2 linked regions of the Daphnia pulex genome follow. The protein of the gene in region 2 purifies or fractionates together with the protein of the main gene of each other region. This does not show direct contact. Links are inferred from orthologs where the notes say so. Each region holds a gene or a part of one and is shown on either strand. Other genes may lie near its edges. The genes, in order: cytosolic iron-sulfur assembly component 3-like and cytosolic iron-sulfur assembly component 2A-like.

Region 1 (3,928 bases), on a different chromosome or scaffold from region 2:
ATAATCATTTGGCACAGAGATCCCGTGGAAAATCACGACTAATAGCCGGAATTTATATCATCTTCTTTATCTATGGCGCACTAGTATACACTACCAGATAATCATGATATACGCAACAACCACCTATCTACGGGGTTGGAGCTGGCCAAACATGAGGATGATGATATTAACGTCTAATTTGCAAACGACATTTTTTTCAAGTATCATTTTAATATACTATTTTAACGTGATAGAGGTTTTACTGTGTGGAATATTTTATGTAGGGTTATCGAAATTGCCCACCCATAAGTAATATTTGGCACTAACATCAATAGAGTATTCATTTAAATACTCTATTACATTACATACATACGATTTAAAAATATAATATAGAAAAATGTGTAATTCATCATTTGGATACATTTTAACTAGTTTTTTTTTGTAACTTAGAGTGCCGGTGATATTTATTTTCAAAATTGAATGATGAACATTCCAAATAAACCCCATTGCACCAGAAGTAGTTTTCTTCTACCACTTAACAGTTAGAGCATTAGTTGACTTCTGCACAGCGTGGTAGTTGGTTCTTAACCTTTTCAATCGTTCCTCAATCGAAGATTTTCCAAGCCAGGCATGACTTAAATCATCAGCTTTCGTCTCATCAATATCATGCTTTTCGATTTTCGTATGGAGAATCTCTAGGTTTGATAAAAGTATCTTTGTTTCATTAGATTCCAATCGCAATTGAGCTCCACCATTTAGACAACCTAATGCAATTGATATGTCAGGAATTTTTCTTTTTGTGTATCAAATTTAAAACTTACCAGATGGACAGGCCATGACTTCGACATAGTCATACGTACGCTTCTTCCGCTTCATTTTTTGAACTAGATTTTGAATATTTCGGAATCCGTTGCAAATTGCCACACTAAGAACCTGCTGTCCATCCATTTCAAGGAATGCTTCTCTGATATCCGAATTTTTAACTGGCTGGAACGTGATGTGTTCCAGGGTCACATCATAAAGCTCTTTGGCGGCAAATCGCAACACATGCTCTGCATAACCTCCTGAGCCGGATCCAGATGGTATATTCCACGTCGGAATCTCGGCTTTACTCAAATGATCAACGTGAGATGAATCCAGGTCGGTGAACTCAACATCTAGTTCCTCAAGTATCTGCTCGATTTCGACAGGAGTTATAACGAAATCAACATCCTTGGTTTGCTGATCCTCGCGAAGGAAATCGCTACGAGACGCTTCCAATTTTTTATCGAAACACGGCATTATCATGACGACGGCGAGACGCGAAGCATCCGTTTGAAGTTCGTTGGGAAGTAAATCTTTGATAAATGTAGCGGCTATTTGCTGTGGAGACTTAACTTCACTAATGTGCGGTAAGATCCAGCTTCCGTGAGTTTTCTCCGCGTAACATATCCAACCTTAAAACAAACGTGCAGCAAATCAACAAACGTAAAGAAAGAAAATTAAATTAGCATTTCAATACCAGGGCAAGCAGAAGCAAGTACTGGAACTGATGTAGCATTGGTTGACTTTTCTCTGAATCTTTGAACAAAATCATGTCCACACTCAACTAGGCACATATCTGCAAATGATTCAACATCAAACACTTTTGCAGCACCAAGTTGCCTAAAAAGAGCTTTAATAACTCAACAGAATTAATAATGAGTTTTCAAACATTTACACGATGGAAATATACCTGATAGTTTAGCTCTTGCTTCTATGGGAGATACTTGGAATTTGTTTGCAAATGAAAGAATTGGCTGGGATGAAAGCCCCACTACAATCTTATCATACACTCTACTTTCTGAAGACAGCTGAATTTCTTTGCATAGCTTTAAGAATTCTGTGTGATTTTGTTGGCCAATCAACACACTCTCGGCAGATGTTATGCATCCACTGTAAAATTTAACAATGTTACACAATTGTGTCTTAATAAAATGCATGAACTGAAAAGTCACCTGCAAGCTAAACAGTCATTGAGAGTAATCTGTGCTTTCTCTAACTTTTCTGGTTGTCCTTCCTACAGGAAACATTTAAAGAAATTACATATTTATACCAAGGATATTTACATAATAAACCCTATAAGCCTGAAGTGAAATATTACTTGTCCCATGTACCTTATTGATTTGGGTGTAAATGCCATCGTCGCCGATTTGGATTTTGGCACTTCCAGCAGAAGTAACTTGTTTTACATTTGCTGTCTTAGCAGGCTTAATGCATTCCTAAATAAAAAAATTTCAGCATTTGTTCAACAATAATAAAATTGTGTCATCTCAATTTGCATACTTGAGAAGGATTGATGAAGTCATCCAAGTCTGTCAGCTGTACAATACTGCTGAATCTTGAACTGGTAGCCATACTTGTTGTTTTGTGTTTTGTTATTGTTGTAAACATGTAAAGAAGGCTGGCGTTTGTCAACTGTTTTTACATCCGTACTCTTTTTAGTACTACCTTCTTTCGGAGGAAGGGAAATTTCACTTTACTTGTCGAAACCTCGAAACCCACTGTTGATTGGATCATTTAACTAGAAACTAGAAATCGTTTCTTTACAAAATTAATTTCATTTGAATAATTTCTTTTATTAATTTCCTTAACTTCCGGACTATTCATTATAACAGAATGGCTAGGCATAGGAACGTTCGAACTATGAATTATGACGAAGGTAATTAACTAAACGTAATGCAAATTTCATTTATCTTTTTCATAATGTCAAAAATTTTTTGTGTAGAGTACGATGGTTATGATGATGTCTACGGCCACTCTGTTGAAGATGATTTTGCATCATCGCCGAGCATGCGTAATTATCATGAATTGAAAGCTTTAGTTTAATTGAGAAATTGTAATGTTTTGACTCATTGACGTCCGGCCATGTACAGAACACTTCCTCTACGATAGAAATCAAGAGCATCAGATGTCTGCCTACATTCAGTCTGACATTCCTGAAGAAGAAGAAGAGTTGACGCCAGAAGTATTTATTTTTCTTTGTTACATTTTCTCACAACTACTATACATTATTTTTCTGTACAAGGAATCTAAAAATGGGGCTGGTGTTAGTGCTCCACCTAGAATACCACCATTAGGAGAATTGGAACAGGCCCAATTGTATTCATGTCTGGATCTTCTTAGAGATAGGATGGGAGATGCACTGTCAGAACAAGCAGGAATCAATGCAATTCTTGCAGCTAATTTTGATGCTGAAAAGGCGCTTGACCAGCTGTTAAGGAATTCTTTTCCTGTTTCATTGAAAAAAGTCTCAAAACCAACAATCAGAGAAAAAACAGTTCCTGCAATTCAAGGTATAAACATTATGATACACAAAATAGTTAAGTCTTATGCTGTGTTGAACAACTCAAAGCTGTATCATTTGAAAACCAATTTCCCCTAGCAAATATTTGAGATATGCATTTTATTTTTTTGTTTAAGCAATTAAGCAATTTAATTAGTCAGTTTTGAATTTATTTATCAACCTACATAGAATTAATGGTTTCCTTTTTTTTTCATTTGTTATTCTACATGTTGGTGATGACGCTGCATCTGTTTTCCTTTGAATGCTGTTCACTAAGGTAAGATATTACACCTAGCATTAGTACTGATAAAATAAGCTTGAGCCAACTTGCAACACTTCATTTATCGAAGAATAATCCAGCTGCGGAACGATCGACTCCTAATCGTATAGTGTCGTCTTTTAAGCCGAATCCAGTAGCCAATAACATTTCTGTGACCAATCCGCTTGCTGCCAAGCCAAAATTGGCTGATTTGGCTAAGATAAGCTTGGGTAATCCAAACCTCTCGAAAAGCGTCGGATCGAGCGTAGTCCGCCCGTCTTTATCTGAGTTAGCGCGAGTAAATTTGCAACCCCAAAATTTAAGCGGAGGGTATGTTCCACGCTTGCGATTTTTACCCGGTCAAGTTCCGAACGTCCGACCAGGGA
Region 2 (3,260 bases):
CGATCATTTGCTCGAACAAGTCAAGAAAATCAAAGAAGAATTGACCAAGGAGGCTCAATGGAGACCGGTATTCGCTGACATGTTTCGCCAAGGTATCAAGCCTCGTCGGCGAGCTGGATTCCTCCGCCATATGCTCGTCGAGTCGGGCATCACCTATGTAGGCCTTACGGAAACATTCAAGGTGAGTTTGTCTTCTTTTCAATTCTTAACCGGAAGAATCTAATTGAAATTTCTTTTGCAGGACAAGAAAGATGACGGTGTGGTCGAGGTCATCAAAGAGAACATCAAAGGCAAGAATGAAGCTGACGTGGAGGAAGTCATCAAGCTGCTGAATCAACACCTTGCGCAGCCAGACAAGCCCGTCCGACGCGGTAGCGGCCGTCGAGCACCCCGCACTCGTTCCCTATGCACCGCCACGGACTTGGAGAAGCAGCAGCCTGCGTCCAAGATCGAGCCCGAGGAAAACAACAACGACCCTGTCAAAGTGATTATGGATGTTATTCCCAGCACTCCTGCGGTCCTGTCCGAAGTTTAAAAAGTCCCTCGACTCGCCTGAAATTACTTACTGCCTCCCAACCCCACTTCCCTTTTGTTTTTCACTTAACTTGTCTCGTTTTTGAGAAATTTTGATCTTTTTTTAAGTTTACAAGTCTTTCACGAAACAAACTTGCTTGTCGCTTTTGGTTATGCTTTTCTTCTTACCAGAGATAACACTTGCAAAATTTATATATATACCAGGGAGCTTTTTGGTAATTGTTTCTAGTCTTCTACTAAAATCAATCCAGGGTGTATATGTGCGATGAAATTGTCTCTGCAGTGCCTTTGCAGTGCCTTTCATACTTGTGAGTTGATCTCATGGAATGGAATACAAAATACTCTGAGGAAATTTATCGTCTTTTATTTTTTTTTCTTAACAAAATTCTTATTATTCTTCATCTCTTATGCAACTATCGACCATTTCTTTTAAGTTGGGATTCTCTAAGGCGGCGGCGACTCTTTCCTTGTCGTTGATTTGTTTATTGACTGGATGGGAATAAAGTAAAAGAATATTTTAATGAAAGCTTTTTTGAACATTTAAATATGGAATTAGGACTTACTCTCTTCTTCTGTGCTGTGTTTCCCCTCTGCAATAACTATGTCCAATTTAATCCTTTCCACCACATTTTTCTGAATCTTGCCTCTCAGGCAGAGGCCAATAAGGCTTGCAAGTGAACAATGAGGAACTGTAGGATTGAAATCTATTCTAACCAAGTAACCATTTTCCTCGAATGGTTGTACTTGAACAGATTCATCTGTAATAACCAACAGGTCTTCTAACGTGTTGGGCTTTTCAGGGTCTCTAATTGTCCTCAGCAAGTCTAAAATAAAAATCAATAAATGTTTTACCCTGTGGTGAAATATGATAAAGACGAAACAGACCAGTGATGATTTCTTTGATTTCTTGACATTGATTCTGAACATTTGGTTCCTGTCTGCACGATGATGTCCAAATTGATCTGTCCTTCCAACTTGGCAAGTTCACTGGTGAACTTACGGTTACAGCCTTCTCTAATATCACATTATTAACTGTTTCGGGAGGCGGTTTGCTCTCACTGCTACTTATCTTTTTCAGAAAAGACGTGAGGAACATTTCGACACTTTGATTAAGTACAGCAACCAATTAAATCTTTATAGGACATGCAAGTTTACGCTATGCAAATGGTGGTTTGAATTATCTTTCTACAATTCCAATTAAGTACAAGAGTGAAAAAGACAAACCAAAATAGTGAAAGAAGCAGATGAACGAGTTAACTACTGCACTTTTTTTTAATCAGACGTCACTTTGTTTACATGAAAAGAGCCATCTAGTGAACTGAAGTACAACAATATAGGTAAACCTTTTGGCGGGATTTTGACTGGTGCGAGTGCAGATCATTCAAGATTTCCGGATTTTTTAACTGGACTCTTTGAGTTCGCATTTGTTACTTGAAATGAAACAAAGTAGAAATCTGTACTTTTCATGTGTGCACTAAACGAATTTATATTTTACAAAAATATAATAATCATCTGGTACACAAAAAGATTGGCATGAACTGAATAATAAAGAAATTGCGAAAATTCAGAAGTCAGCGCTTAAGCGCGCTGTGCCGAAGGATGAATGAATGCACTCTAGGCGGAAGTTGATTTCCAAGTGGAATTTTGTGTTGACGAAGGGACTGAGCGCAGTAACAAGACAGGGGCAAGACGGTATTGATCAGAGAGTTCAGATAAGAATTAAAATAATAGTCATGAAGGGAATGTTTCTTTCGCTGAATTTCCAAAAAATCGATCACTGTATGGCCTTCTGGTGTGGCTTGGTCGAGATGACCACCTGCTTCCACTAGTGATTGAAAAACATTTGACAGAGACTCGGAAGGAAAGTCGGCCGAGTCCAAGTAAGTCGAGAATCGAGTCCAGTTCCATTTCTCGGCTAAAATATGAAGCGGAGTTTTCCCTTTTCTATCCGTGGCATTCGGATCGACCCCCATTTTCAAGAACAGTTTAATCAAACGTTGGGTATTGCTTTCGTATAACCACACGGACCGATTAATTCCAGCATGTAAAAGACTGTGCGATCCACGGTGAACGTCTAGGGGAATAAATTGAGAAAGGCATTCCTCAAGTTGCTTGTGTTTTTCCTGGTTTAACCGGGGGAAACTCTTGAACAGCAGCGAAACAAAATCGTAGGCGCATATGTTCACTCTGTGAAGTCTATTGTGATCCTTATCATTCATTAGTGGAACTGGTAGTAGATTGGCTATGACGGTGCAGCATCCAATAGCTTTCAGAAGATTACCGGGAGTCAATTCCCGTCGTTCTGGGCTCTCCGCGGTCTCTTCTCGCATCCGTTCGAAACACTTTGACATCAGATCGAGTGTTTCGACGAAAATGTGAATACATTTGGGTGAAGATGCCGTCGAGCTGAACGATTTCGCCTGGTCGATAATGAGCAAGCAAATGTTGAACGCACGACTGGGTTCTTTTCGGTACGAGTTGCAGTCCCAGCCATACCGAATCAAATTAATTAGATGGAAGTAATAGGGCCCATTATTCACTTGGCTGACGACTCTTTGGTTCACTAAAAGAGCCTGAACTCGAAGATAACATTGCCAATGAGAACTGGCGAGTCCCCAAGCTGGCGGACAGCCGTAAATGGACGATTCTTGCTCCATTAGTTCCAGTTCTTCTAAGGTTAGCACTTCGGAATTATCGGCAAATGCCTTAGCAGCCTCATCGGTGAA

Evidence for each region.
Region 1: the proteins of cytosolic iron-sulfur assembly component 2A-like (region 2) and cytosolic iron-sulfur assembly component 3-like purify together in Homo sapiens (affinity purification with mass spectrometry; 4 studies listed by BioGRID and IntAct, with this or other methods). This does not show direct contact. The link is inferred for Daphnia pulex from reciprocal best matches to the Homo sapiens genes CIAO2A and CIAO3.

Annotation. Positions count from the first base shown.
Region 1 is NC_060024.1:1,853,246-1,857,173, reverse strand, and holds cytosolic iron-sulfur assembly component 3-like, read right to left. Parts: upstream 2,436-3,928; 5' UTR 2,392-2,435; coding exon 2,284-2,391; intron 2,220-2,283; coding exon 2,115-2,219; intron 2,018-2,114; coding exon 1,956-2,017; intron 1,894-1,955; coding exon 1,694-1,893; intron 1,634-1,693; coding exon 1,481-1,633; intron 1,416-1,480; coding exon 801-1,415; intron 744-800; coding exon 508-743; 3' UTR 365-507; downstream 1-364. Other genes in the region: protein HBS1-like, read left to right, coding at 2,617-2,659, 2,726-2,794, 2,874-2,965, 3,026-3,293.
Region 2 is NC_060021.1:3,191,044-3,194,303, forward strand, and holds cytosolic iron-sulfur assembly component 2A-like, read right to left. Parts: upstream 1,820-3,260; 5' UTR 1,631-1,819; coding exon 1,420-1,630; intron 1,359-1,419; coding exon 1,098-1,358; intron 1,024-1,097; coding exon 926-1,023; 3' UTR 609-925; downstream 1-608. Other genes in the region: maternal protein exuperantia-like, read left to right, coding at 1-181, 242-535. UniProt on the Homo sapiens protein: Component of the cytosolic iron-sulfur protein assembly (CIA) complex, a multiprotein complex that mediates the incorporation of iron-sulfur cluster into extramitochondrial Fe/S proteins.